Drosophila melanogaster: one gene and its partners. The protein of the gene in region 3 binds, or shares a complex with, the protein of the main gene of each other region. Each region holds a gene or a part of one and is shown on either strand. Other genes may lie near its edges.

Region 1 (11,098 bases), about 13 Mb from region 3:
GTCTAGCACGGATCAGTTTTGTTTCAGTTCAATTTGCAACGAAGAACGCACGGGAAAGTGAAAAAGCCATAAAATTCTACCTAGCTATAAAGAATTTCGAAAACTGCAATTCTATGCGAGCTTAATACCTCAGGTAGGGAATCTGAGTTCTAGATACCAATGCAGTTGTTCCGCGTAAATCATTTACACTACCTACTTTATCTGGCTTCATATGTTTGAATTTCCCTGAACTCTGTTGAAATGTAATTAATATGCTCTTTGCAAAAGTAGCCTAGTACATTTCATAAAGGTTTATAAAACAAAAATTGAATCACGTGCAAATTGAACTACAAACTGATTACCCTGCCTCTATTTCAAGTTCTAAATAACGGTTCATTCTGTTGTATTTGTAGACTTTTGATTGCCTCGCAGGATGGGTACTTGTACGTGTATTCCATTCCCACCGTCGAGGGCGCAGAGTGCCAGCTAATAAAGAGGCACGACCTGCGGCTGGAGGACCACTATGCCATGGATATCAAAGGTGCTTAACTGTTCGCTTCTCGCACACACTTCACACTTACACACATCCCAACCAAACCCACAATCGAAACAAATTCTCTAGTTGATTCACCTCAAACTCTAGGCCTTAACAGTGGCGTGAGCATTGGCGGAGCAGCTGGAGTTCCGCCGAGCAGTGCAAGTGCAGCCGGAGCAGGCACTGGTGGAAGTGGCGGTGATGGCAAGTCGGCTGTTTCTGTTACCGGTGGTGTCGACAAACCAAGTAGCTCCTATGCGTCGGCCGTGAAGGGTGACGATCCCGTGGGACCCTCATCCGCTTAGACAAGGTCAATGATCAAAAATGAGAGATGCAGCGATGGTAAACGAAACTCACTCCTCAAAGTAATAAGGACGATGATGCTAAAGTGATTACAATGATGCTTGGCGACTGGCGGCGGCGATAATGATGATGAATAAACGACGGTGGCTCTGTGGCGTCAAGCGTATTTAAGTAAATAAATAGGTCATAGACTTAATTTAGCTCTTAACGTTGTCAGCGATGATTCTTCCTCGTTTTGTACCAGCCAATATTCCTTTGTACGGCCTCTCCCTACCCAAAACATTTTTTAGTTTTAAGCCTCCGTTCCTGGCGCTGCCATTGGAATGTGAAATGCTTTTGTCATACACTCCTAAGTTAGTTGTTAATTAATAATTTAGACGGATTTACAGATTCGCTTTGATATTTGAGTTGCCAGCTTTTTATACAAAATAAACGGCCTTTGCAAATTAGTTTTTAATTTTTTTATTTTTCCAGTCCTCGCGCATCTTCCCTTGACAATCCACCGAACTCGATTTGTATGTAAAGTTCTCGCCTAGCTATTGTTTAATCATATCGAAATATCTCGGATTAAGCACATACACCACACCTATATATATATATTATATATTCAATTTAAAATTTAACATTCAGCTAGCGACACGATGAGTGAAATGAAATTCAAAAAATCGGAGCGTGCAATGGAGGAACAATTTTCGGCATATATAAATAGAATATATTTTGTACAAAGTCAAATATTTTAGAACATAATGTTTAAAATGAAAACAGTTTACAAATGAAACTCATACGCTACTTTATTGTATTCAATAAATTATTTGAATTAAAATTTGTTTGTGGGTGCCTTTTCGGTGTCTTAAAATATATTTTAATATTATTTCCTTTATTTGGCTAAATTCCTCGTTGCAAAAACAAAATTTTCAAAATATTTAAAATTGGCGACAAATTTTAAGATTGTGTGTTTTTCAACACTGTAGGATGGGAAAATTATGGTACTCTTTTGGTATGATTAATAAAAGATACCTCGGTCACACTGAGCGCTGCTAAAAAATATATTAGGTTTAAATAAAATAAATTGCGTGAAATACGAGAAAAGTAAAAGTTATATTACTTCCACGGACGCGAGAGATGAAGGAGAACAACAAGATCCTCCAACTCATCTATGTGGCGTGGCGCGAGCGCTGGACGGACTCCCAGTGGGGCATCAACATAAAAAAGGCAAGGCAACCCAAGCAAATCAACACACCAAACAATCAATGTTCGTGTTTACCAATATATTGTAAACGCAATGAGGCCGGTACATTGAGAATTTTAGTGACTCAAATTGCCCGCCTCCGTGCTCTTAGTCTTGGGCTCGAAAACCGGATCCTCTGCCTGGGACAGTGCCAAAACCAGTTGGCGTTGCTTTACGGAGAGATTCCGGGGTATACGCACCTTCAGCGTGACGATGTGGTTGCCCACGCCCTCCCTGGAGCGCACCCCCTTGCCATTGAGCACCACCTGGGTGTGGGATTGGGTGCCCGGCTCCACACGCAGCTCCACGCTTTCGTACAGACCCCGTATCTGAAAGGATCCGCCCAGAATGGCCTCCGAGATGTTTAGGTGCTTGTCGGTTAGAATGTCATTGCCAACGCGTCGGAAATAGTCGCTAGACGGCACCGACAAGCGGTAGGTGACCTGCTGCTTCGTTTCCGGATTTATAATGTTCACCACATCACCGTCCCGGGATCCGGAAGGCACCGATACCATCACATCCACATTGGACACCACGAAGCCGCGATTCGAACATGTTTCGCAGTCGTTGCGATTTGTGAATCGCTTGCCCTTGCACTGCGTGCATGTGTTCACCGATGAGAAGGTTGGCGTTTTGGTCATGACCTTTCCAGTTCCATTGCATCGCCGACAGGGTTCCTTGCCCACATCCCGATGCGCCATCAATTGTGACTTGCCCTTGCAGGTCTCGCATTTCCGCAAGTAGCGCAGCTCTATCCGCTTCTTGCATCCCACTGTCGCCTCAAGGAAGTCAAGTGGCAGATCGAACTCGTTGCTCTTCAGTTTGTTGATCTCTAGAAGGCGATTCAAGGATCGTGTTCATATCGTGATATAGTGAAAAGTGAAATGGTGTTTGATGTATCTAAAATCCGTCTGCTTACCATCATTTGTCGTCTTATCCGAATCGAACTTCTTGGCCTCCTCGAGGCCCACATTTAGGGGATTGCCCGCCTGTTCAAGAAAAGCGCGCTCATCCTTAATCCCGCCCAGCTGATCGTACTCCAAGCGCTTCGTCTCGTCGGTTAGGATGTTGTAGGCGTTGGACAGCTCCTGGAAGTGCTTCAGCTTTTGTTCCGAGTGCGTCGAGTCGGGATGATAGCGCTTGGCCAGCGCATAGAAAGCCGATCTGATTTGCTGGATGGTGGCGTGCCTGTTGACGCCTAACACTTTGTAGTAGTAGTCCTTGGGCATGCCTCGGCTTTGCGGGTACTTAACAGCCGGAGATGACACCTGTTGAGGCGTGGCTCCCGCTGACGTTCGCTTCGCCTCCCGCTGGCGATCTGGATAGTAGGCTGGTTTCGTGGTCCTGAACTGATATTGACTGATCATCCGCATACAGATCCAGCAGGCAGCGACAGCGGGAGCGCGATCCAACTCCAAACAATGTGACGTCTTCCTGCAGCAATCCGTTGCAGCTCCGCTAATTAAAGTGCTTAATACGTCTCCAGGACTGCGAAATAATTTTAAACGAAACATTTTTTATCGCGTAACGAAATATGCAACTATGTGTGCTAACTATATAAGTGGAAATCCTAACTAGATTTTTAAGTGGTTCTGTTTCTGTTTATTTTATGGGGTTGTGACCCAGATATTGTGTTAAAGTTTGACAGGAAAAGAAAATGTTTCATTATTGTCTTTCCCTTGATTACTATTTCAGGTGCTGCCGAGAGGAGTCAGTGGAGATGTATACAATCTGGCTGACTGTCTGATGCAGCAGGCACTCATTGGTTCCACGGCTAATCCGGTGAGTAGTTGATCTGAGTATTTAGATTGTTTTCTAAATTGTAATCTATGCTTTTCAGTTGGTTCTTAACTACCTGAAGCATTCACTGTGCGCCCATCTCGTTTCTCACGCTGCTGTTATTCGGTGCATTGCCAAATATGACAAATTAGAGCGCGTTTATTGCATTACAGCGCTCCTTGAATTCCTGGCCAGCATCGTGGATGGCGTTACCTGCCGGTAAGTCCTTTTAGTTTTATAAGTCGTTAAAAAGCAGGAGTAAAAATAATTGTTCATTTCTATTTCCAGAATAAAATCTGAGGAAGCGGTTTTACCGAGTTCCGTCGTCCACTTGGTGTACTGGCTGCTTCAAATCTTCGCCAGAACTGTGCAGCACTATGAACTGTATGGTGAGATTAGTGCTGAGCAATCATACATGCTGGACCAGACCTGCGTGGTGATAGATCGGCTTAGCCAGCAGCAGTTCCTGCTGTCTATGCTGTACGTGGGCTGTCACGAAGAGCTCGAAATATGTGGACGGATTCGGGATAAGTACGCTACCATCAAGGGATCGTTGACGAACTCAAACTTTACGCTAAATGCACCACAAGTGGAGCAGCAATTGCAGCAGTTGGCCTTTATAGAAGCCAAGCATCTTGAAATGCAACCACTTAATCCGCCGTCAACACTCGAGAAGATCTCGTGCTGCGTGCAACCCTTACTGGCGGTGGAAGTGCTTCTCAATCCGTGCAAGGACACCAGCTACTACGTGGCTGAGTTGCAGATGCTGCAACGATTAAAGAAATACTCCAATACACGGCTCTTCTACGAAATCATCCGTGCTGGATTCCTCACGCTGAGCAATGTTGCGGATACAAGTCCTGACACTATGTGGGGTGCCTTTATGTTCTTTAAAATGCCGCACATCATTAAGCAATTGCACGCCCTGCAACGGATTCCCGGGGAGCAACCACCACCGGCCGATTACATACCCGAGTTGGTGGAGGCTTTGGAATTGCTCATCGAGGACAATCTGCTGCTAGACTTCATGGATACTAAGTGCTCATGCAATATGATCGAGTTCCTTTTGAATGACTGGACCAAGCAACAACTAGTCAATGATGTCCACGTAAAGAAGTTCGCCAGTCAAAGGTTAGTCGAGAAATCATGCATTTTGTACACCCATCTTAATTATATAATTTAAAACGAACTCTTTCAGGGAAGCCGCCTCTCAATTACTCAAAAAATGCGACAATGGCCAACAGACACCCTCCAATATAAACTTCATCAAGCGCGCAGAGGTTCCGCTTTCCGGAGTACTAAAAACGCTGTGCACCAACAAGGTCCAGGACATGGTTAATGTCCTTTGCCAAGTGCCGGTGGGCAACAGCTTCGAGTTGATTCTTTCAGTGGCTACCGTCGAGGGACGCCTCAAGACATTCGTATCGCGTCTGATCCAGTGCAATGAGAACTCCAAGCCGGTGCCGGGCGACCTGGGCAAGCTATGCGTCATCCGGTCCACTCTGTTTGATGTTTCCTTCCTAATGTTGACAAGCATTGTGCAGACCTATGGATCCGATGTTCGTAAACCCGCCTGTTATTACGCTGCAATTTTAATGAATTCTATTTTACTTCAGGTGGTCTTATCTGAGCGTGGTGACTCATTTTTTGAAAAATGGGTGCGTGAGTGCATGGTGGAAAGGAATAAGCTTAAGAATCCGCGTCAAATTCTTGCCCTCTGTGATGACAGTATTGTCGACGAGCTTTTGCTTAGCTTCAGTAAACCAGAGGCATCACAACTTAAGCCAAACAACTTAAGTTGGCAGGAGACTTGCCTTAATCTGCCCGGAGTGCTTCATCATGTGCTAATAGCTTGGGAGCAGGAAACGCTATCCTCGGCGGACGTTAAAAGTATTCTGGACAATATTAAGAGAAGACTTTTCAGTTTTTCCGTTTGCGCCACTAGTTTTCTATGCGCCTACATGTATTCGGTGAAGGAAACGGAACTTCTGAAACCACTAAACATGATTCAGCAGTTCCTGGCTCCGTTGACCAGCGAAGAGCTTTCCAGCCAGGAAAATGCCAAGGAGCGACTAGCTCTCTCCTATCAGATTATCAGAAAAATGCAACACGATGTGCATCCTGCCCCAAGTACCAAGTCCCGCCTCATTTCACATTCCCCGCTAGTCGAGCAGTTTCGGGAGGTGTGGCGAACAGTAGTCGATGCTGGTCACCTGCCCGTTCGCGCCGCTCAGTCGTTGGAGTCGCTTCTGCTAGCCGGTGGCGCGGCGTGGCTGTCCACGCAGTTGGTGGAGCAACTGCTGGCCTGCAAGTACACAAGGGATATGTCGCGAACCATGGACGTTGTGTTTGCCGTAATGCATCTCGACATTGAGAAGACCACTGAGGCGTTGCTCCAGTACGTGGTGGCTCCACTGATACTGCGACGACAAGGGTAAATACCAATATTTTCTTCTGTATATTATTTCATTTATTTATTATCTACAAATCGAATCGATTTAGCAAGAAAGGATGTAAAAATTGAAACTGCTATGATAGAACTCGTACTCACAATTTGGCAATCTTTTTTTTTTCTAGTGAGGACATTAATGAGCCCCAATCCCTGGTACTGGCCCGCCTCTGTGTTTACTGTATTATTTCCTGCCTGGAGAGCCGCAAAGGAAATGGCACTTCCGCTTTGACGGCCATGAAGAAGCGATCGAGATCTCACGATGACGAGGAACTGGCGGCCAATGCAGCCAAAGTGCGCAAGGTGATTGGCGATGGCAGCGACAACTCAAGCGACTTTACGGACACTACGACCGGAGCTGGCCTGGCAGCATTATTGGGCTCCACTTCCACATCTGAACTGCGGACTACGCCGCTTACTCTAAGAGAACCACTGCAGACGAGCGTGCAGCACATTTTCGCAGTGTTCCTGCAGTTTGTCAGTGGAGATGAACTGTCGCCCAAGGCCGTTTTTGTTTATCAGTTCATTTCGCTGCTGGTGGAATGCGGTGGTGAGAGGGTCGCTCCCGTCCTGCGCTTGCTGCCCAACGGCCTGGTGCAACAGCTCCTGAAAGTTTTGGTCACCGACGACATAAAAGTGGGTCTCATCAGCAGACTATACGATCTGCGAATCCAGGCAGGAAGACTGTCCGCTGTGTCTGATCTTTGCCTGTGGCGAAATATGCAGATGGCCAGGCACAGCATTCATCTGTGAGGGATTTGGATGATTGCCACATTGGGTATGCCGATTATGATTAAGAGACGGGTGGGCGAAATTGCTAAATGAATTGTATTAAAAACTAGAAATTGGTGACTTGACTCGGCTTCTTCTTTGCACGCAGTGGATTTTGTTTTCGTTTATTACAATAATTTGTTGTCGCCGATGTTCGTCTGTGTTTTGCTTCATCTTCTTCAGTTAGCGGGTGTAGGGGGAGGTGTATGGACAGGCTTAAAGTAAGAGACCTTGCGATTCCCTATATCACTTGAGCAGACAGCACTCGAAGTAGGTCTCGCCCACACAGCCACCACGCATCGCCTTCTTTACATTGTTCTCGAACTGACGGCGGTTGGTCTGCAGGACGTCGGCCGCCTCCTTGTTGAGCGGATCCTCGGGATTGGGTTCCTGGAAGCAGTTAATTTGGATTAGTAATACTGTTGGCTTGGGTAATAACAAAAATAGAAATAATGATCGTTAAGTGGTATAAACAAACATTTATATTGAATTGTTTCAGTGGGCGTTCAATTAAGCACACTTAGAAATCAATTGTTCACAAAACAAGACATAAAAAATCAATTGTAACTTGAAAACTGTGGCTGTTGATCAAGACTTATGGAACAAAGCGTATAGCCTCTAAAATAACACAAATCACGAAATACAAACCAAGAATAGAAACTGCAAGCCATAGACGATGGAGTTGATGTTCAGCACTGGATTCCAGTCCTCGCGCAGAATGTTGAGGCAGACGTTGCCATCCAGGTCAATATTGGGATGGTACACCTGGGTGGCGCACTTCACCTTGGGCGGCTCGTGCGGATAGTTGGATCCGACGCGGAAATTGAACACGAAGCGCCCGTCTCTGTAGAAGCCCTCGTCGGGCGAGATGATAAGCTTGAAGTTGAGCAAGTCATTGGGATCGGGAAAGTCTGTGGCGCAAGTGTTTGGCAGGTTCAGTTCGTTAATATCTGGGGGGAGGAAAACAGCCCAAGATGGATAAGTAATAAGCGAGAGTTGATCATACCAGGTGCTGGATTGGAGACTACCTTTCTGTATGCGCAGCTGGGCGGCGGACGCTTTCTTCTGCTGACTGCCCTTTTGCTCGCCGTCTTTCTTCTGCTGCTTAAGCGTGAATAGTTTAATCATCTTGGCGTCCTCGTCTCGCTGGCGTTTCGTCTTCCGCGTTTGGCTGTGCTCGAAAGTTTCTGGCTCTCTGGGGGGCTTTTGCTGCTTGAGGGACAGGTTGCATTGTTTGAAATGTCAGTGGTTTAAGGGCAATTGTTTCACTGAATCTTTGGCCTACCGTTAACAATAGAACTGATGTAAAAAATCACTTCGAGTGCTTTCTATCCTTTCCTTGTTTCTGCCCAGCGATATGTGTAATTAATCGATGGTTGCACCCGATAACAGTCTGCTCGATAGTTGTTGCGTAGTGCTGGTAAGCGGACTTCGGATTCAGCGGGATTCAAGCCAAGTTTGGATACTTCGAAACGAAGAAAATTTTAAAACCTAAATTTTCGACATGCAACCGGTGTCGTAATATATTTGAAAATCATCGTCATAATTTTTTTTTTTAAATATATATATTAAATATATTTATTTAAATTAAACGCAAGTCTTTGATAGCTGGTTTTTCTTACTTCGTTCCATAACTACGTAAAACTTTGCAGATAAATTTAAAGAAATATTTGTTAGCTACTTTGCAAACCACATCTCTATCGGAAACCAGGGCTGCCTTAACCAGCACATGTTGATTAATGCATTACGATTGGGCTCCCCTTGAGCTGTTTATTTTGAATTTCAACAATTTCTGATTATGTCGACGGAGCCATCGGTGGCCAAGGATGCTGTGCTGAAGCGCAGCGAGGCTCTGGCGGAAAACACGCCCCAAGTTAGTGGCTACGATTTCAACGAAGGCTTAGACTACAGTAAGCTCTTCGAATCCTATGTGAACACCGGGTTTCAGGCCACGAATCTTGGCCTGGCCATTCGGGAAATTAACAGAATGGTAAGTTAGTAACTTAAATACATAACTACGATATGTTACAAACCCCTAACACTGGCAGCTGGATTGCAGGGACCAGCCATTGGAAGCGGACCAAATAGACAGCCATGAAACAGACGACTTCATCCGTCGAAGAAGCAAGTGCACCGTATTTTTGGGCTACACATCCAACTTGGTTTCGTCCGGACTGCGAGAGACCATTCGCTTTCTGGCCGAGCACCGTATGATCGACTGCATTGTGACCACAGCTGGCGGCGTCGAGGAGGACTTCATCAAGTGCTTGGCTCCCACGTTCATGGGTTCATTTGAGCTGAGTGGCAGGGATCTCCGCGAGCGTGGAATCAACAGAATTGGCAACCTTCTGGTGCCGAACGATAATTACTGTAAGTTCGAGGACTGGGTGATGCCGCTGCTGGACGAGATGCTGGAGGAGCAAAAATCCCAGGGAACTATCTGGTCGCCGTCGAAGATTATTCATCGGTTGGGCGAACGGATTGGCGATCCTAGTTCCATTTACTATTGGGCTGCCAAGAATCAAATACCAGTCTTTTGTCCCGCCTTGACGGATGGCAGTCTGGGCGACATGATGTACTTTCACTCCTTTCGACAACCTGGACTCGTGGTGGACATTCTGTCCGATCTGCGGAGGCTCAACACCATGGCTGTCAAGGCGGTCAACAGCGGGATGATCATCGTGGGCGGCGGCGTTATCAAGCATCACATTTGTAATGCCAATCTGATGCGCAATGGAGCGGATTACTCAGTGTTCATTAATACTGCCTCGGAGTTTGACGGCAGCGATAGCGGCGCTCGACCGGATGAGGCTATATCGTGGGGCAAGATCAGGAAGGATGCCACCCCTGTTAAGGTGTATGCCGAGGCTAGCTTGGTCTTTCCGTTGATTGTGGGTGAAACATTCGCCAAGCGGCATCACTGCGCCGGCAAAGAGCTGCCCCGAGAGACTAACCAAGTGTAAATATATACGAGAAAATAAGGACAACGCAATCAACGCAAATGTACAGATGTAACTTATTAAGGAATGGTTGGGCCGCAGATGGGTCGTATTGCGAGAATGGAAGTCCCCGAAGTGTTATGCCCCGCCCAGATGCAAACTGTCCGGGCAGGAAGCCATTAAGCGTCGTCGGAGTTGTTGGCTGCAAGTGATAAACACCACCGGCAACAGCAGCAACAGCATTGCACTCCGGCACCTCCAGTGGGCCATGCACATTCCGCCGTAATAGTGGTTCTGCTGCTGGAATCGCTTTAGTGCCGCAAAAATGCAGCTTTTACCGGCGGTCACAGATGCTATATTCCTCGTGGCCTTAGTTTTATACGAATATTCCCTCAGTTCTGCCCATAATTGTTTGCGAAGTTCGCTCTCGCTGGCAGGAAATCGTCCGCCACGGAACAGTGCATCCGCATAAGCCCACGAAATTTGTCATTAATTTTATGCCACTAATGTAAGCGCTCGGCTTCCGTCATTTCTTCAAAATTTTTCTCCCTTTTGGCCAACCAAACTTTGGCTTGTCTGCACGCATCATTAAAGCCATGCGGAAACTTTTTCGCGCACTTACATTTTGTCCCCTCCGTTCCGGCTTCTACGACAGTTGGCACTACATATTTTGAGCTATTGTCAGGATGCAGTTGCGAAAGATGGACTGGCTGAAAGTTTTGGGGATTGCAGAGGCACTGCATTTTCTTTGACAACTTTTTCCCGACTGCTAGCAACTTTTTCTGTGACTTTTGCCTGGCTTTCTTCGAAAATGAATGGTTTTTTGGGAATGCGGCGAGGAAAAACTATTATGTATGTTCTTTGGCGTATGCATGGCAAGAAATGTTGGCTTTATCAAATTTTCGAAATTTATACGCTTTTTTAAGGCCGCTTGAGATGTTTCGCTTTTAAAAGTTTTCCTTTGGGAATTAAGAAAATTAAAAATCCTCTTAATACTGAATAATAATGTGGCATCAAAAATAATTTATTTCTGAAAAACTTATGTTAGCTGCCAAGAAAATCAATTGCACTTATTGCACAAGCAAAATGCCATTATCGGCAGTCAGCCGTCGTTA
Region 2 (8,246 bases), on a different chromosome or scaffold from region 3:
TCTTTTTTCACATTTTTTATCTGATTACTCTGTGCATCAATGATTTTTCTTTTGGCCACCAGCTGGACTTCCTGATCCCGGTCTTTTAGCCTTAGAAAGTAAATCGCTCGGCGATCAACGAGCAACGAAATGGCTTTCACAAGTCTACTCCAATCCGAGGGCTCTGCAATTTTCTGGAAGATTTCCCCGCACGGCTCACTCTGTCCAACGAAACAGTCTGGACACAAGCGCAGATCCTTCTCGAAAAGTTCCTGGAACACCTCTCGCTGCGGCTTCACCTGCAGCTCCTGCAGCAGGGCCAAAATGAGCACCACTTTCAGTTGGCCGTGTGACAGGTGCATCACAGGGAGCTGCAAAGAGACGGAAGAGAAACGAATGAAGGGGCTTGCCAAACAACAGAAGAAGCCACACGTGTGTGTATCCAAAGAAATGTGCGTGAGGGCCCAGCCTCCAGTCCACTGGCCACATTACCTGTTTGGCAGCTACACGCCAAAAGTGAACCTAAGCACCGAGCCAAAGAGGCAGCTGGTTATGACCGCTTAACGAAGCGTCTATACCCTTTCGCTACATTTAGTTTAATTTGCTATTAAGCTGTATGTATTTTAAGTATGGAATTTCCCTTTTTACTAGTTCCTAAAAGCAATACCAAATGCTTCCATTTATTCTATTATATTTTTTAAGCACGTCTAAGTTATAGATCTTTAATTTAGTCATGATGACAGCTGATTAGATTATGATACCACTATCGCTTTTATCACACCAGCTTCTGGGCTCATGCCGAAATGGTTATCCCACAAGGTCCGAAGAGTATGGCGTCGGGGGGACGGACTTACAGAAATAACTTTGGTTCTGAAGAAGAGCCAATTCAATGGGTTCAAGGTTGGCCATCACGCTGGGAGCAAGAAGCGAATCAGACGCTTAATTTGTAATCTCTGCAGAGGTGGGAGAGTAGCCATTATGGCGATACCAGTCGCATCCTCCAAGACGCACTCCATCTCGCCTTGCCCTGTACTTCAAAATTAAGTGTGCCCAGAATGGACTTGCTCTGTGGCTCATTCTTTGGCGACGACGAGGAGCATAATGACTCGGCTAAAGATTCAGCACCATTGCCCACGACTTCGCCAGTGCCTCAGACTATCAAAAGAAAATCGCGTGTAAGATTTAGCCGCAGCACCATACGAAAACTCCAACTCAACGAACTGGAACAGTTGGGCTCCACAAACGCCTTTTTCAACTTCCTGCTCGCCCAGCGAATTCGGGAATTGGGCTTGGTCGGTCTCAACTACCTGGATGTGTTCAAGTCCCAGCGACTAATTTCGGGGAAACGCATCTGGAACTGCATGTATGAGTTGGCTGAAAGTGTTCGTCAGAACGATATTTAAACCTTTCGGGATAAGAGGAAACTCGATGAAATCGTCTACCAAATGTATTCGTGCGAAAAAAGACCGAAGATCGCTGAGAACGCACTGAGAGATTGGGAGACGCAGCAGAGGAGGAGAGACCTGAAATCGAAATCGCTTGGAGAACGTTTCCCCAAACCGAGTAAGATCAGTTGAAGGTGGCGCGTTGCGCTCGACGGTTGTCGCTATTCTGGTTCTCGCTCAAGTTATCCGAACTCTTGGAACAGCTGGGTAGTCTGGTCTGGCCTGGCGCATAAAGACGCGATATCGGTCAAGTTCAGACGAAGAAGACGACGACGCGGCGATCACTCAATTAGCCTCACCGTGAGGGCGCGTGAAATTCACTTTTAAATTTCCCCCAACTCGATTTTCACATACACAAATTGCTTTTGTTACGATTCTCGCGTGTGCTTGGTTGAAAAGGAATTTGTCACAGTGCCAAAAGGTGTGTGTGTTCTTCTTGGAAATGTCCACTTAGCTCGTAAACTATTCCAATGTTCTAAAAAGCCATAAATTAGCCCTAAGGTCGCACGTGAAACCTTCACCACCTGGGCTAGCCTAACTTTACGCAACTGAGAACAGAGCAGATCGCGATTTGAGGCGAGTCAACAAAGTGCGCAGCAGAAGTCCAGAATATTGATTGACTTTGCAATCAAATTTGCTCAGTTCGAAATTTTCAGAGTCAGGGAATTAGCACTCAGCTTATTTTCGGGCCACATATTGTTTGAAAGCAGCCCATATCCAAGTTCTACATGTGTGTATATATTATTGAGAGTTATTTTGCTTGTCAGTTAGCAGTAATTGGAGGAGGGCACATAAACCACCGTGCTAGCTACCCATAAATTACACATTAGATAACGCCGACATGTGCTCATCGCTGATTTCGAGGGCCCCCATATAAGTCGCGTTAGCCTGAGCCCCACTTGTCCAACTGAGATCTGTACAAACACTTTAAACCGGTTATATACATATAGTACCCGCTGGGAAAACAAATAGCAAACCCAAGCCGGCAATATATGAATAACCAAGCAACTAACCAACCAACCAGCTGGCTGGTAAACAGTCGCGTCGTAGTATTATTTTGGCTTATTGATAAACAAAAGCCTGTCAAGTGTGCGATCGCATATATATATATATATATACAAATGTGTTTATATATTTGCATTCTTGGCCATGACCAAGGAAATCTGATGCATGTCGCGTAAGTGATAATATACAAATCGAATTACGTCACGTTGACTGCAGGCACTCAAACCTCCTTGACTACATATTATTTTTCAAGGGGATTGCGTTATCGGACATTTAAACTTTTCGCTTTGTGGCACACGCCCTTTTAATTAATAGCCATAAAATAGCAAGCGAAATTGGAAGCGTGAAATTTGATTTTTTCTTAAGTGTTACGACTCTTTCAGTTATTTTTAGCTCGAACTAAAAAGAGTTACTAACTGAATAAACATTAAGAATTACCAAGAACGTATTAAACACAGCAAAGACCTGTTTTGGCCAAACATCTATTTTTTCATTTCAACCGAAATCACTAGTTTGCGCACTAACAAAACTTTAGCTATTTCTTTTGATTTTACATCTCGTATCGCTTTCTATTCGCCCGCGCCTGAATAGTTTCTATTATACTTCGAATGATTGATGGCCGCCTATGACACGGGCAAATTGGAAACAGGTTTTCGAATGGCTCATTAATATCTACCACCTTTCTCTGCCCCTTTCGCAGATGAGCATCTCGGCGGTGGATCGCAAAGAGCCGGGCAGTGTGAGCAGCGGTCTGGGTAGGCGATACGGGCAGCTGCTCCGTGGAGCCAAGTACACAGATTGCGTGTTCCACGTGTGCGAGGAGCAAGTGAAATGCCACAAGCTCATCCTGAGCTCCGCCAGTCCCGTTTTCGAGGCAATGTTCTTTGGTCCCATGCAAAACAACGAGCCCGAGCCGGAAATCGAAATCCACGACATAAGCTCTGCCATCTTCAAGGTGCTGGTGGAGTACATCTACACGGGCGTCGTTGACTACAATGGCCTGGAGCTGGTGGCCTGCATTGAGCTGTACTACGCCGCTGAGAAGTATCTGCTGGAGGAGCTGATCGCCGACACGCTGATGGTTATCACCCGCAAGCTGCGATTTGCCAATATCTTGCCCGCTCTAGAGCTAAGTGTTTGCATGGGCCTCGACGGGTTGCTGGAGGTCTGCATGACCTTTTTCATGCGATGCTGTGTTAATAATGGACAGTATATGAGCCACCTTAAGGAGCACTATGTGCACGTGTCCAAGGAGTGTGTGAAGGCCATAATAGCGGCGTGCAAGGAACCGCACAAGTTACTCATCTGGTATGTTTATGAGTGGACACGACAGGAGTGCGAGCAGTTGGGTCTGGGTCCCAGCGATGCCGACTTAGTAGTGCACGACTTGGGTGGCAAAACAAGCGACTGGCCTGCGGCTTCGGGTGCTAGTGATTTGGAATCACCTGCCCTAACTCCGGTGGTTTTGGTGGAGCGCTGCTATTACAAGGCCTGCAGGCCCTTTACAGTGGATGCAGAAACTCCGCTGTTTCGCTTGCGTCTAAAGTGCTCTAGATTTATCTCCTTGATGGGCTTGGTCCTGAACAGCAGGCTGACTCCCAACCTATTGGGTCACGTCCAGCAGCTGGAGTACCGCGAATCGCTGCGGCTGGACCTTTGCGAGGTGCCCGCTGAAAGCGAGGGTCCGGCCACGTCGCCCGTATGGAGTCACGTTGTCCAGAGCCAGAATACCAAGTACAACTGCAACCTGCATCTTGGCTGGCGACGCGAAGAGGCCTGTGTGCTGAATCCGGAGCTGACCTATGAGCTGCAGATCCGCTGGGACAGCAGTGCTTACGGCGCCGAGTATCCGTGCAGCCTGCAGTCCTGCCAGGCGGACGGAATTCGGTTCACTGACGAGGACAGCTTCAGCGGAAGTCTCGTCAAGGGACTGCGCTATGCCAACCTGGTGTAGCCACTTCAGCCGCGATATCATAATTAGTTAGTCCGTAAGACGTGTATGTATTTATTGCCCTAAGTTAATGTACGCTGCCTCAGAGTTCAATAAACTGTGAGTAATATCGCTTCAAACACAAGACGTCTGCTGATAAATATAAAAAGCCGGTTTGCAGCCGTTTTTGTTTGGCGAACGAATCGAACTCGATCGGGGAACGGCGTCCTGGCTGCGAATACGGAAACTTATCTCACCTGTTGTTGCGGCCACTAAAAAAAAAAAATCGGTAAAACAATAAACTATAATATAATCACCAGATGTAAACAAAGCGAAATTGAACGAGGGACAGTGTGGCCAACTGGTCATAATAATTCTTGCTTAAATTGGGGCGACCGTAAAATAATTAACAGTGAGAAACTGGCTATTATTTAATAACTTAATTTTTGTTTAAATGATTAATGATTTAAAGCTGCTGCGCTGTAAAAGCTTTATTTGCTGTTCAGAATTAAAATATTAATGAGCACTATCTTAAATCTAAACATAAAAACCAAACATTTTACAGTAACAATGGAATCAAAAATGCAGTGGAAAAGCGCTAAACACCCGCGAAACAGTGCTGTAAAGTTCTTCACAGAGTAGTGTTGGCAGACGCCGGGTGCAAAACAATAATAGTCCGCTTTGGTTTTTGTTTACGCTGCAAAAATGACGATTTTGTACAAAGTGGAGGGCAAGGAGTTCAGCAAGGACAGCGTTTTTCCGCACAAGAAGGTCCTCTGCTCAGTCTCCGCACGGAACATCGTTGCGTTTAGCGCCCTCCAGAGCGCCATATTTCCGGCTTCCCACGGAGGAGATGCCGGCGATGGATCCTTGCCGGGAGCGGGTTTGGCCGTAGGCGCGAGCAACAGCCATGTGTACGTGTGCGACATCGTGACGCCGTGGGAATACTATAAGGTGTGCTCCTCCAAATCGCTTATCAGCGTCCTCCAGTGGAGTCCCAATGGGGAGCAACTGCTGCTTGGATACGTCGGCGGTCGCGTCGAGATCTGGCAGCCGAGGAACCAGTCAATTAACCTATGGGTGCTGCAGTATTACGCCACCGTGCCCAGCGAGGACATTATAGAAGCACAGTTCTTTCAGAATGGCAAAGGAGTGATCTTCAATGCGCTGAAGAAGGATCACACCTACTATGCGGAGAAGTTCGAGCGGGTGGAGCAGCAGAGGCCCACTCTCAGCGGATTTGGCGGAGTGGCCAGCGAGGGATGCGTGCTACTCACTTCCTCAGGCCTGCTGGCCGCCTTCAGTCTCCCCGCAATCCAAAAGACATCCGCCGCAGGAGCTGATGGTCCTGCCCACGAGGTCGTCGAGTTGACACCCGCGCTCCACAGCATCGGCATATCGCGCAGCTTCATCGAACACTGCAGCATGACGCCAAGTCCATCGGGAGCCCTTAATATCGCTTTCAGCTGTGGCTGGCAGCAACAGTTGGTGCAATGCTTTAAGGTCTCGCTTTCATTGGAGGGCGAACTGGGTCTGGAGCAGCACTTGGCCATCAAATCCGAGTCCCAGACCAGCATATTTCTGGGTCCTCTTGACGGGAGGCGGATCAGTCACCTAAAATGGACGCGAATAGCCAACGAGGATGTGATTTTTATAGCCTACGCTTGTCCAGATGGTGCTGGCAGCCAACTGGAGCAATGGACATTGACACGCCGTCACCAAAGTGTCCACGCCCTTCTCCAGGGTGGAGGAGGTGCCAACAACAAGCCAAATGAGTTCGTGCAATCGGAAAGCTGGGAGCAGGTGGGCAAAGTGCAACTAAATGCATCCTTGGCGGATATCAGCGTTACACGACTATCGGTATCAACGCCGGACTCTTGCCAAGTGTACGCCATTCTGCAGGACAACAGCGTCCAGGTGCTGGAGCCCAACTCGATGAAGCAGCTTAATCACACCCAGTTTGATAGGTTATCTGACGCCAGTGGAGCAGTAAAGTTCGTTAGCGGCGACTTGACACCTAGCAGCCAAATTCTCCTAATCTTTGATAGCCATGCACAACTTTACGCCATGCAGGCACCTCTGCCGAAGCAAGGAGGATCTGGTTTGCTACTTCTGGAATATTGCATCGTTACAGGTTGCGATGCCAGCGATGTGCTACTCCTTAATCTAGGCAACCTGGAGGCTCTGGTGGAGAAGCTAACCGACAACTTTACGCGGCAACCTTCCTTTGTGCGGCACTTTTATTATGCTAATTTTTTGGCCCTCAAGTCCAACATATGCCGCATGCAGCAGCAGGAGTTTGACAATCTCATTATCCTACACGCAATATCCACCACATTCAAGAGCCTCCTGCGACCGTCTGATCTGGGTTTCCAGGATAAAGGACCTGCCGATAACTTGGCCATCAAGCTGGCCGAATCCATTCCGGATGTGGACACCGTGATGCTGAACCTGGACGCCAAGGACTTTACAGTGGAGCCGGTGATGCTGCAAAGTCTACAGCAACTGATTCAGTGGGTCACCGACCTGGCACTCAACATGCTGCATCGTCTGCCCGAGGAGGTAATGAAGACCAAGCTCTCCGGAAAGCGGCCTAGCTACGATATCAGCCGAGACATCGTGGCCATCAGCAGTCTGCGCGAGCTGCTGGTTATGATCCGCATTTGGGGCCTGTTAAACACCCAGTGCCTGCCCGTCTACACCAAGACGATGGACAACATCGATGTGCTAGTGATCTTGTTTCGTTTGCTTACTCGCCTGGCCCAGAATCCTGCAGAACCGGACGAAATGCTGCTGGACGAGTGCAGCCTGCTTTCCAAGCAGCTCCTAATTCCCCAGCCCACCAAGTTCAACCCCACCACGCTGCTGAGTGCCCAAGGATTCGCGGCCGTAAAGTCGGGACAGCTGCAGTTCACCTCCATGGAGGAGCCAACTTGCTTGCAGGACATGGAGACGGAGGAGGTGGTCTTCGCCAGCTCTGTGAAGGATGGCGTGAGCAATCTCCAACTGGGCGCCCGACCCAGCCACATTCGGAGATGCGCCCGCTGCGGATTCGTGTTCGTGAATAACGCCAGCAAAGTGGCCAAGACGTCGGCCCTCAAGGCGTGGTTTAGTAAGTGGCTGCACTGCCACTGTGGGGGCTTTTGGAAGCAGGTTCACTAGTAAATCTATGTGAGCAATGACCTTAGTTATTAAGTATGATTTAAGCTTCAAATAAAAGTACATGATTGCCAGCAATTTTAGTGAAATCAAGAAATTTAATATACTAAATATATTTCTTCTTTGCACGACGTGCTCGTTCAAAAAACTTAAGCCACAGAGAAGTCACCACCATACTTCACTATTTCAAAACTAAATTTATTTGAATAAAATATATTTTTTAACTCTATCTATGAATTGTGGTTGGTGTATTTGCTAACGGTTTGATATTAACAACAACAACATATCGAAGAACTTGCATCACTAGCATGTCAATCGATATCAGGACGTCCAATGTGTCTGTCGGCTGTCGGCAATCGATATCTCCTCTGCAAATAGATATTTTCAGAATAATTGGCTTATTTCACTTCGCCCTAACGCTGCAGTAATGGTAAGTGCATCGAGGTGCAACCTGTAGTCGCCAGAAGTCGAAATTCCTAGAGAACCGAGTGCCCCAGGTCCAGGCTTAACCGAGTGCTGAGTGCCCACCCTGTCGACGTCAAAAGAGGGCTGCCTGTGGTGAGAAGCAACGCCCCCCCGGTCCAAATCCCACGTCCATGTATCCCTGGAGCTCCTCCTCGTACGGCGGCCAGATTCCCAGTGCCGCCAACGTCCGGGTAAATACTCCGCCAATCCCAGATTACGAATCTTGGATATGTGTAATCGTTAATCCACTTATCTTCAATTTG
Region 3 (11,057 bases):
GATACGCCTTTACGTATCCTCTGTTCCGCTACTTGGCCCAGTCCAAGGTGGGCTGCTATGTTCACTATCCGGTTATTAGCACCGATATGCTGAAGAGGGTTCAGCAGCGACAGATGTCGCACAACAACAAGAAGTACGTGGCGAGGAACCCCTTTCTCACCTGGACTAAGCTTGCCTACTACCGCCTCTTCTCAAGAGTGAGTGTTCAAATTCGAATTAGTCAATGCACAGCTGTATACCAATTTACCCTTTTTTCAGATGTACAAGTGGGTTGGCTGTTGTGCTGAGACTATCATGGTGAACTCCTCGTGGACCGAGAATCATATTCTGCAACTGTGGGATGTGCCCTTCAAAACACACCGGGTTTACCCTCCGTGCGAGGTTAGTCACCTAAAGAGCCTTCAGCACACGGAAAAAGGCGACGAATTCATCATACTGTCTGTCGGACAGTTCCGCCCGGAGAAAGACCATCCCCTCCAGCTGCAAGCCATATACGAGCTCCGAACTCTCTTGGCCCAAGACGAGGCCCTTTGGAACCAAATTAAGTTGGTTATTGTGGGCTCCTGCCGAAATGAAGATGACTACGAGCGGTTGAAAAACATGCAGGACCTGACAAAGCATCTGTCGCTAGAAAACAATGTGCAATTTAGTGTGAATGTCCCTTACGAAGACCTTCTTAAGTTGTATCAAACTGCCCACATTGGCATTCACACTATGTGGAACGAACATTTTGGCATCGGCATCGTCGAGTCCATGGCTGCTGGCCTTATAATGGTGGCCCACAAGTCAGGGGGTCCTTTGCTTGACATTGTCGAAACTTCCGCGGGAAGTCAGAACGGATTCCTGGCTACTGACGCCGTTGAATACGCAGAAAACATATTAAATATTATTGTTAACAACTCAGAAATGAACGGCATTCGAAACGCAGCCAGGTAACTAGATAAACATTTACAGTTTGCACACTTTAATATATTTTGGTTCGCTTTTAGGGCCTCCGTGGAACGGTTTTCTGAGCAAGAGTTTGAAAAAAACTTTCTTCGAGCTGTTTCAACGCTATTTACCAACAATTAAAAAATAATAGTACGCCCGCACCTAAATAAATATGCAAAGCCCAAAAATCTCCAACTGAATACATTTATTATACTCTACAACATATTTAGAGCGATTTTATCGTACATATCGCATCGCTTTCCTTAAGATTTACCTAATGCATTTTTAAAGCATAAGGTGATTTCGGTTTGATCGACTTAACAGAATCGGGAATAATCTCTGAGATTTTGTACCAAATTCGCCATCGTGTTGTAAAATTTTATTTATTTCCTTTGGAGTTTTAAATCATTTTTCTGCCAATAAAGTTAAGAAATTGCCTAATAAGATCCTTAGTTTCTATGCATCATAAAACAAAATCGTGTAACTAATGGCTTTAAACTAACTCACTATGCTAGCTTTAAGAGAAAATCGCATAGAGCAACAGGAATATCTCATGACGGCTGTCTTTCTTCTGTCATTCGCCAGCCAGGCTAGCCAAAAGCTCCTCATCTATCCCATCCGCCGATGGTGTACCCGCCGTGCTGCTAAGATTGAGCAGTCCTTCATTGCCAGACTGCGAAGGAGGCACCGGCGGCTTCGCTTCCGGCTCCGTCAGTCCAGTAGAGCTGGCAATAGGTCCTAATATCGAAGATGATGTTCCCGCTAAAGCCGGTTCTGAACTGCCACTTGGCGTGCTGCGTCCACTGGTTGTATTGCCTCCGCTTCCTCTCTGCGATAACTTTGGGATCTGGAATTTGTTGTGGAGCCCCTTGATGAAGCCTTCCATGCTTGCGGCCATTGTCGGAGAAGCGTATTGGAGGATGGTCATCATATCCGTGTGGTGATCGAATCGCGGCGGTGGCTGCGACATTGAGCCGCTAAGGGCCGGCGATACCGACCCCGAAGATCCGCTGCCTCCTCCCGAAGCGGAGCCTAACTTTCGCTGCCCGCTGCCTCCTCCACTGCTGCCGCTAGCCAAGGCTCCCATGCTGGGACGCCGCCTGGGGGCATTGTGCTCTTGGAAGGAGTTAGTGCTGTTGCTCTTAGTCAGCGGAATTCCGCCACCTGATCCCGACCCACTGAGCTTGCTGCTGAGATTGCCCGAGGAGTTTGCCTTCTGGAAGAAATGCTTGCTGGATGATGCCGTGGCGGACGAGACCGCTGCGGTGGCCTTCTTGGAAGCGGGTCCGCTGTTAACGCCCGGCTTGAGTCCGGTATGCTGCTTCTTCGTGGATCCAGTGGACCCAGCGAAGCTCGTGGCGCCGCTGCTGCTGCTCTTTGCCTTCGCTTGGAGGCCAGAGGAGGAACTAGAGCCGGAGCCGGTGCCGGAGCTCTTGCTGCTTCCCGTCTTGTTGATGGTCAGCTTGAGGCCCTCTTGGCTGCTGGGCTTCACCATGTATTCCGTGGAGGCTCCGGCCGGATTGATGCTCCCGGCGGAGTCGCTGCTGCCCCCGCTGGTGGTTAAGCAGCTACTAGTTGGCGCTGCTCCCGGCTGTGGCTGCTGCTGCAGAATTGTTGCTGTTGCCAGCGTTGCTGCTGCCGCTGCTCCCGCTGTTTCCTGCCCCTGACCCACTACCGCTGAGACTGGAGACACCAATGACGCTGCCGAGCCCGCTGCCACTGTTGTTGTTGGTGCCGGAATTGTTGGCGCTAAAGCTGCCGTCGACGTCATCAAACTAACCTGACAAAGTAAGCATGTGGTTGTGTGTGTGTTAGGGACCAAAGAAACCAAAAATAAACCAGAAAAGAAATTATAACAATCAAAAAGGGGAACATCACGTGTAGCAAAAGAAAAAATTGTGGGATTTCACAACCATTGGTAGTGTAGGAAGGGAATACAAACAGGAAGAAAGAAGAATGGACCCCGTTAATAATTAGCTTTATAGTTAAGTCGGATACGAAATATATTTTTGAGGAGAAAATGTATGAGGCAAACGCTTGTGGAGCTACTTTCAAAGTGTACATCATAAGCACATTAAACACTAATTTTAAACGTAGTAAATATTTAAGTGAGAAGGAACTCTTGTAACTAAATCTAGAAAAGGGGAAACAATCAAATTATAATACTCGTAGAGTCAAGATGCCAAGCACTACTAATTTACACATTATTTACTGATGTTCTTAACAAAGCTTAAAAGTCATATGCATACACATTCTTATAAATCCAGCAATACTGTAGACACTATAAACTTGGTGAACCAGTACGCCATGGTTTTCTACATGCCACATGCTGGCCAAACAACTATACAAATCAAACAGATTAACTAATAATAAAAACATACGTTCTCAATGCAGAAAAAGAGGTTTAAGCTGGTGTTTTGGGGATAAGCCCCATTACCATACGAGTTTTGGGTTTGGTCGAAAATAAAACGGATGCAGCAGTATATATGACAAATAATTGAATCATATGTATTTACAAAAATTAGAAAAGGCAAAACGAAACACTAACAAAAATAATAATCATAGTACTAAATATAATCATTTTCAACTACAGCAGAGGTAGGCAAATTACAAATCGTTTTATAGCTAAAGTAAATACAGCATTTGCATTAGTTTAAAGATAGGTTCGCTCTGAGTTTGATTCTGCATTGGTTAGGAGAGGTGGCAGAGAGTCAACTACGTGTTAGGCTTCCAGTGGGAGATGCTGGGGGTGGGTTGGTGTGGTGTGGAGTGGAGCACTTATAATGAAAACGGACTTACCGCACCTCCCGCCATGCCCTTGCGCAGGGCACTCAGCTCCAGTCCGGAGGCCCCCGCTCCAGCGCCAGCTCCTGCTCCCACCACCACTGCGGCTGCACCAGATGCTCCCGCTCCCGACGGGGCCGCATAGCTACCCAGTCCCCCGCCCGCCGCCAGATGCGAAAGACTGGCGACTGACTTCATCTGCTGTTGTGAGGATTTCAGGGCAGCTACTGCAGCAGCCACACTTGCCGGTGAAATACCTCCGCCAGATGCGACACCTGCAGTTGCCGAGGATGATGTGGAACTGGAACCGGATGCCGAAGAGGTTTTCTCCTTCTTTAAACTCTGGCTGCTGCTGATAGATCCGCTCGAGCTCGCTAATGGAGGAATTGGAGGTGGTGGAGGCGGAGCTCCAACGCTGGCAAATGACCTCACCAGGCCAGTAGCTCCGCTGGATCCTGAGGAGGCGGATGGTCCCGAAGATGTGTTACCCACAGCTGACGAGGACTTATCGCCCTTGGGACTTAAGATGGTGGCAGCTGTAGCTGCACTTTTAAGCGTTGACATGCTCGGCTTTCCGGAAGAGCCGTGTTTGGGTGAGTGTGTGCCAAACGGCGACTTCGGGCTGTTGGAGGCGGTGTTGTGCTTGGGACTGCTATACACGGGAGAGTGCTTGGGGCTGGGACGGGCAGTCGGCACTCCGGCCATTAGACCCTGTCCACCGCCACCAGCTTTGGGTGACGACGAGGGAGAGGAAAACTTGCGAACCACTCCACCAGTTGCGGAAGCATCTGCGCCACCTGCAGGCGAGTTTTGCCTAGAATAGATCTTCTCCGGCGGTCCCATGGGCGAATCGTCGCGCTTTTTCTTGCGCTTCTTTTCCTTCTGCGTATCTGAAGAGCCGCTGCTGGCTGAAGACGACATGGAGCTGCCAGAACCACTACAACCGGACGTAGACGAACTACTTGTGCTACTTTCGTGGGGACGCTTTGCGGCCACACCTACTCCAGCTGAAGCAGCGGTACTTTTTTTGGTTGAGTCCTTACTGGGATCCTTGCCAGTTATTGGGGTAATAGTTATAGTCGTGGGAGTGGCACTGGATGAGGCTGTAACACCTCCTCCGGCTATAGCCGCCTGGGCATTCAATGGAATAATTTCGATACCACCCGTTCGCTGTACCTCGACCCCGGACACTCCCCCAGCTGATCCAGACTTTCCATCTCCTGGGATGGGGGTGATGCTGACGCAATGCTTCAAATTTGGAGTCTTGTCCTTCCAGATATTTTTGTACTTGTCAGCAATGTCATGGTCACTCGTCTTGGCGGAGCCGGATGAGCTGGAGCTGCCGCTGACCGTGGTGCCACTGGCCGAACTACCAGACTGTGGATCGGTTTCCCGCTTAAGATTGATCAAACCCGCTATGGCCGCTGCTGCCGAAGTAGAAGCGGCAAAAGCATCCGCTAGAGATCGCGACTTCGCATCCATTTTAAGGTTGTTAATGTTGGCGAAGCCACCTCCGGGTAGGCTTCCATCGGAAGGCGTCGGCGTATCCATTGAAAACTGGCTAAAGTTATTGCCTACTCCTGAGACAGGTCCACCACCACTCATGCCTCCACCTCCGATTGCTCCAGAACCAGATCCAGGTCCAATCGCGCCATGCAGTTTGAATTCGTGCTCCTCATCCCAGCACTTAAGCAACTTGTAGATTACCATCGGAATGGATACCACTTTGCGCGCGGTGCGGGTTAACTTCTGGGACAGCAGCTCGTATTCGTTGGTCAGACAGTAAACGCTGCACGTGGGCTGACCATCCTCAAGCAGAAAATCCACAGTGGCCAGCGACTCTTCGTACGGGTGCTGCAGCTCAACCGTGATTTGATTAAATGAAACGGCGGTTACCTCCAGTATCACAGTGCTGTCCATATCTGGGACGAATGAGCATAAAAAAAATATTATTATCATAAAACAGGAATGTGGGGGGAAGTGGAGCACCCAACTCACCATTATACTGCTTCTGCTGCTCACGAACACAGCTTGCGAGCAGGGTGTAGAAGAGAGCTTGTTTCTTGAGGAACGCCACGATTCGCGGAACCTGGGCGGGTTCAGTGAAGGGCAGTGATGACACCAGAGTTCCCTGCAGTTTGCGGTTGTCGGTAAAGAAATAGCAGTGCGTCTCTTTAGGTAAATTCACATACAGGCCGCGCTGTGTGTTCTTAATGGCCTGCTTCGATGCAGTTTGTACTATGAGATTAAGCACTGTGGTGGGCGGACCAGGAGGAGTGGCAACTGAGTCTAGACCGGGCAGACCGAGAGCCTTTAGTGATTCCAGGCAAACAGGCATGGGTTTGTTCAGCCGAAGCACAAACGTGGCCGGCATCAGCAGCGAGTTGTTCTGGTTAAGTTGGGCATAGGTGGGAACCTCCAACCCCGTTTGGGCATCGCGGACCAAAGTCACCGTTGGCAAAGTCTGCAGTTTGTTGGCTGATGAGCCTTCGAGATTGATAGTGGCACTCAGTCCGTAGCTGCTTCGCATTACCTGGTCGATGGTGAAATCGCCGCTGGCCAGTTTGGGATCCCCTTCGGGAAGGTGGAGCGGCGGGCAGAAATAAGTAAGCCTCATAGGATGGCCACCGCGACGGGGCAGCACAAGACCCACCGATGAACTTGTCATAAGTGAGTAGCTGTCTCCGGAGTGACCTTGCAGGTGCAGTTGGTATAGGCTCTGGATATCCGTCTCCATGGCCTGAAGCGCTACAAACGCCTTCTTTTTCACCTTGGGCTCGGCATTCAGCTGGTAAATGGAGGACAGACCCTCGAGTTGAACCGTAAAGTCTGCAAAGTCGCCAGACTTGAGGCAGGCCACTAGCTCGCTGGACTGTTGCTCGATCTTGCACTCGTGGTGCACCTTGACGTCCGACAGACTGCCGGCGGCGTCCAGCAGGATCTCTACGTAGAACATGTCCGTTGATATGAAGAGAAGCTGCTGGTCCTCCATGAACTTGAGGCCCAACTGGCGCGAGAGGCTCTCCAAACGCTCCACAAGGCCGTGGCGTGACGTGACCTTGATGTAGTGCTGCAACTTGTCCAGCGCCGACTGCAGCGTGGCCTTGCACAGGGGGTCCAGAGGGTAGTGCTTCTCGATAAAGTACATACGCACCGACTTCTTGATCTCCTCGTAGCTCTTTGGCTTGTTCCGGTACTTGGCCCGCAGCTTCTCCATCATGGTTTCCTGCTGGATCTGCTTGTTCTTTTCCTCGATGCTGGGAATGTGGCTGCCGAAGCCTGTGCAGATTTGTGTCAGTGGTGCTCCGGACATCTTAGTTATGGGGGTATATATTAGTACTTACCAGTCCCCGAGGACTTTGCATTGGATCCGCTCATATCTATGCGTTCCTAAGTAAACTGTATTTACTTAATGATGCTGTGGCATTTTTGACAAAGAATTGCGGCAAATGAAAAAGTTCTCGATCTAAATAGCTCAGAACCTTTTTTCTATGCCTTCATCATGGCAAAAAAATTTCAACGCCAAAACAACAAAATGGCTGATCCTTCACAGTGGCTGGTCACGCTATAATAAAATACTGGAATATAAAACGGAACTATGATATTTCCACTGCGTCATTTGATATTCGATGTATTCTGATTCAAAGCTTGTATCAATTGCCTGTTCAATTATGTATGTTATATTTTTTAGTATGAGGGGTAAATATAATGAAGCAATTAACATCTATATTCTATACATCCTTCTGGTACTTTTACATTCTATTTTTTATGATGTAATTGTGCCTCATTTCCTACTCGAATTTTCTCTTAAGCTACAAGGGTATTGTAATGAACAGAAAAGCTCAAACATTCTTTCGTTAAAAAATAAATTACAGGCCTCATAATTTAATACCGATGATTTAATATTTATTTAAAATTTCCAATGATTTCTAAATGTCTTATTGGCATAAAGTTTAATTTGGGGTTTCTGTTCCAAGAAACCGAAAATGATTATTTAAAGTTTCTTGAGATTTGAAAGAAACTATAATCCTATAAAAATAAATATCAGCTAAAAAAAACTTTAAGGACTAATCAAATAAGTAAACAAATACAGCTTACGACTTAAACAAATTTTATTTCGCTAAATTCATGATAAGTCTTAAGCGTTCCTCTCTTCCTCGTACTTACCTAAACTACGACAGATATACGGATTATATTGAATATAGGTTTGGTCCGACAAATCAAAAGTAGTCATAACCTTTACTAAAGGTAGATGTTATATTTCATAGAAAATTGCAAAAGCTTAAATTCAAATTTTATTAAACATTTAAAGTATTTCAAATTTCTGTTTTCTCTAAATTATTTTGGTATATTTATTATCATCAAAGTGCAGAGCGATATTTGTATGCATGCGCGGTCACATTGAGCGTAAATGATAAATATTTGTTATTAAAGTGTTTCGGAACCAAAGGTTAACAATTCAGCCACATGACGTCCATTGCGGGAGGCCACGGCGAGGCGAATCCAAACAGCTCCTGGCTGAGTGCCCGGGGATTTTGGCTAGCATACCTCCTGGGCCTGCTGTCGGTGCACCTGCTCTTCTTATCAGTGCCCTTCGTTAGCATTCCATGGGCCTGGACGGCTACCAACCTGCTTCACAATGCAGTGAGTGCTCATGGCGCCGTTGAGGAGTCAGTCCTTATCCTAATCCCTCTTGCCAGGCCCACCTGTACTTTCTGCACGTCATCAAGGGCGCTCCCTGGCTGAGCACGGAGAACGATCCCAGCCGGCGTTGGACGCACTGGGAACAGATCGATGACGGGGTACAGATGACCACAACGCGCAAGTTCCTCACAGCTGTTCCCATTGTTCTGTAAGTGAATACGTACTGAAAGTCGGCCAATATAGGTGGGTTTTTATTTAAAAAAATTAAAACTAAATGAAGACTTAAATTCTAAACTTGTTTTAATGTTGATCAAAGTATTTCAATAAATACTTTTTATGTACTGCAGTTTAATTGAACTAGTAATGTAATTGCTACCATATAATGCCTAACATAGAAACTCATGAAATAATTGATTTTTTTATAGTTTCCTACTTACCTGTCTGTACACCCGAAACAACACGGAACACTTTATCCCAAACTTTATATCCCTGGTGGTCGTCACGCTTCCCAAGCTGCCGCAGTTCCACGGCGTGCGGCTGTTCAACATTAACAAGTACTAGCTCCTGTGAGAACGGGCCGCATTTATTTTGTTTAATGAAAATGTACATACAAACTTATATTGATGGCACAGCTCTTGCTCAAAAATGTAAATATTGCTAAATAAAATATTTATCAAATTAAATAATTCTAAAAATCGCGTTTCGATTTTTATTGCATAAATAATTATTGATCATGGAAACTACAAATCATCTAAAAGATGTATTTGGGGGCCAGCACATGAGATATTTTATAACCCATTATGTCAGACGATTAAGTAGAACCATGATGTAGTTCTTTAGCCCAAAGGATTAAACTTGATCAATCGCTGTACACAGAAGTCTTCGTAGTGACGAAAAGCACAGTGAGTGGGGTGCGTAAGTATAGTACATATATAAGCCGAAAGATTGAAAACATGAAAGAAAAACCCGTTAACTGATTTTTTCTGTTAAATATTCTTAAATATAATCATACAACATACAAAAGTACTGCTATCAACTTAAGTGGCGAAAAATGATTATAGACATACTATACAGATACAATGCAAACACTCGCCGCAAACAAGCAAACAACAACAAACAAAAAGCTTTTTCTGTTTTATGAGCTCTCGAGAAAGTCGCGCCCCTGAAAAACTATTCTAAATTCCAGTCAAGTGGCGATTACAGGACAGCTTATCTCTCATTATTGTGGGCGGTAAAATGCGGGGGATGGGCAATCGACTTCTGACAAGCTGATTGCCCGGTTTGACTTTGAGGGAGAAGCTCGCGACCCGAACGACTTTGGCAATTCATAATAACAGAGGTGTGCCGGATCGGAGTATGCCTGATACCCAGGCAGTTGCTGTCAGCCGTTTCAAGGGGAAGGAACGACACCGAGACGCGCCGAGATGTCGATTACCCTAGAGGAGGAAATCTTCGGCTTGGCCGTGAATCCGTTCACCAAGTCGCCCGAAATGGTGCGCCGGTACACGCTTAAGAACTCCAAGGGCATGACCGTGTCAGTGATCCAACTGGGGGCCATCATCCAGAGCGTCTGCTTGCCGGACGCCTACAAGAAGGTGGATGATGTGTGCCTCGGCTTCGACGACATCGCCAGTTACTTGGCCAACAAGGGAGCCTACATCGGTGGGACCCTCGGACGAGTGGCCAACCGGGTGGCCAATGGCGAGTATACGTTTAACGACACGAAAGTCTCGGTGACAAAAAATATCCAGGTAAATATTTCACAAGTGACCGATTTTTGAATACTATTTGAGATGAGGATTTTTGACACTTGTTTTGGCAAGAGAACTTAGTGTTAGAAGTTTTTTGATTGGTATACTTGTTGTACTTGTACTTGTTGTAAAGTATCAGGTAGAGGAAAGCGATTCCGACCCTATAAGTGGATTTGCAATCAAGGTCACTTGCCAAGTCGACCTGGTTTATTAGTTGAGATAAGGCATGCATATTATAGTGACGAATACAAATACATATATTCAAGTTTGTCTCAGATGAAAAAAGACCCGATATCGGCTGTGCTCAGCGTACTCGGCGACACAATCATTCTTATTTTTTTTTTTTTTTTTTACTTTGCTTTTATTTATTGAATCTTCTTGTATAAGAACTAACAATAAGTTTAAAAATCTTAACTATAACAAGTATTTTTTGAACAGTTGTATTATTTTTCCAACTGTTCTATGTTTAAACGGCCCTAATAATTTATTCGCTGGGTTGGTAGGTCCTTTCGCCGGAGACGGGAACGGCTGCTGAGCTGGATTAGACCTCGCGCTAGGTGGTTGGGGTGCGTGTGAAGCTTGCTATGGTATTTTTCCTTAAGTAATCCTTAAGTTAATCATTCTTATGAGAAGAATACTTTTTGATTTCGACACGAAAAAGAGGCTGAAAAAGATTCGATTTTAGCTAGATTTTGAGATCAAAATTCTCAAATCGAGACCTTTGAGAACGGGGGTTTCTTTAAGTGATTGATATTTATAGTATTTATACAAATGTATAGTATTTCTAGTTTAAGCAAATATAGAATATGAAATATAGCAATCGATCAATTTCAGGACAAATTCCAGCTGCACGGTGGCTTCATTGGATTCGATAGCGTCATATGGGAGGTGGTACAGAAGTCGGCCGAGGGAGTGATATTTCGGCACGTATCGCCACACGGACACGAG

Evidence for each region.
Region 1: MED1 (region 3) and MED24 share a complex: the UniProt entries of both Drosophila melanogaster proteins name them as parts of the mediator complex.
Region 2: MED1 (region 3) and MED16 share a complex: the UniProt entries of both Drosophila melanogaster proteins name them as parts of the mediator complex.

Annotation. Positions count from the first base shown.
Region 1 is NT_037436.4:8,189,450-8,200,547, forward strand, and holds MED24 (mediator complex subunit 24), read left to right. Parts: upstream 1-1,820; 5' UTR 1,821-1,939; coding exon 1,940-2,029; intron 2,030-2,072; exon of another isoform or gene 2,073-2,122; coding exon of another isoform or gene 2,123-2,877; intron 2,878-2,964; coding exon of another isoform or gene 2,965-3,559; exon of another isoform or gene 3,560-3,667; intron 3,668-3,740; coding exon 3,741-3,827; intron 3,828-3,885; coding exon 3,886-4,043; intron 4,044-4,112; coding exon 4,113-4,955; intron 4,956-5,022; coding exon 5,023-5,383; intron 5,384-5,440; coding exon 5,441-6,258; intron 6,259-6,397; exon of another isoform or gene 6,398-6,401; coding exon 6,402-7,026; 3' UTR 7,027-7,124; downstream 7,125-11,098. Other genes in the region: Atg18a (Autophagy-related 18a), read left to right, coding at 393-520, 602-819; CG7387 (uncharacterized protein), read right to left, coding at 2,123-2,877, 2,965-3,559; NEDD8-conjugating enzyme UbcE2M, read right to left, coding at 7,291-7,434, 7,693-7,994, 8,073-8,172; Dhps (deoxyhypusine synthase), read left to right, coding at 8,843-9,034, 9,093-10,007. UniProt on the Drosophila melanogaster protein: Component of the Mediator complex, a coactivator involved in the regulated transcription of nearly all RNA polymerase II-dependent genes.
Region 2 is NT_033778.4:22,178,147-22,186,392, forward strand, and holds MED16 (mediator complex subunit 16), read left to right. Parts: upstream 1-4,991; 5' UTR 4,992-5,064; coding exon 5,065-7,521; 3' UTR 7,522-7,746; downstream 7,747-8,246. Other genes in the region: CG11170 (uncharacterized protein), read right to left, coding at 1-341; CG11275 (uncharacterized protein), read left to right, coding at 3,130-4,383; Vps35 (vacuolar protein sorting 35), read left to right, coding at 8,115-8,174. UniProt on the Drosophila melanogaster protein: Component of the Mediator complex, a coactivator involved in the regulated transcription of nearly all RNA polymerase II-dependent genes.
Region 3 is NT_037436.4:21,627,204-21,638,260, forward strand, and holds MED1 (mediator complex subunit 1), read right to left. Parts: upstream 7,244-11,057; 5' UTR 7,093-7,243; coding exon 7,059-7,092; intron 6,994-7,058; coding exon 5,713-6,993; intron 5,637-5,712; coding exon 3,730-5,636; coding exon of another isoform or gene 3,709-3,729; exon of another isoform or gene 2,918-3,708; intron 2,711-2,917; coding exon 1,505-2,710; 3' UTR 1,122-1,504; downstream 1-1,121. Other genes in the region: Alg11 (ALG11, alpha-1,2-mannosyltransferase), read left to right, coding at 1-197, 259-932, 990-1,071; ORMDL (orosomucoid 1-like), read left to right, coding at 8,182-8,358, 8,415-8,566, 8,784-8,919; CG32444 (uncharacterized protein), read left to right, coding at 9,783-10,109, 10,944-11,057. UniProt on the Drosophila melanogaster protein: Component of the Mediator complex, a coactivator involved in the regulated transcription of nearly all RNA polymerase II-dependent genes.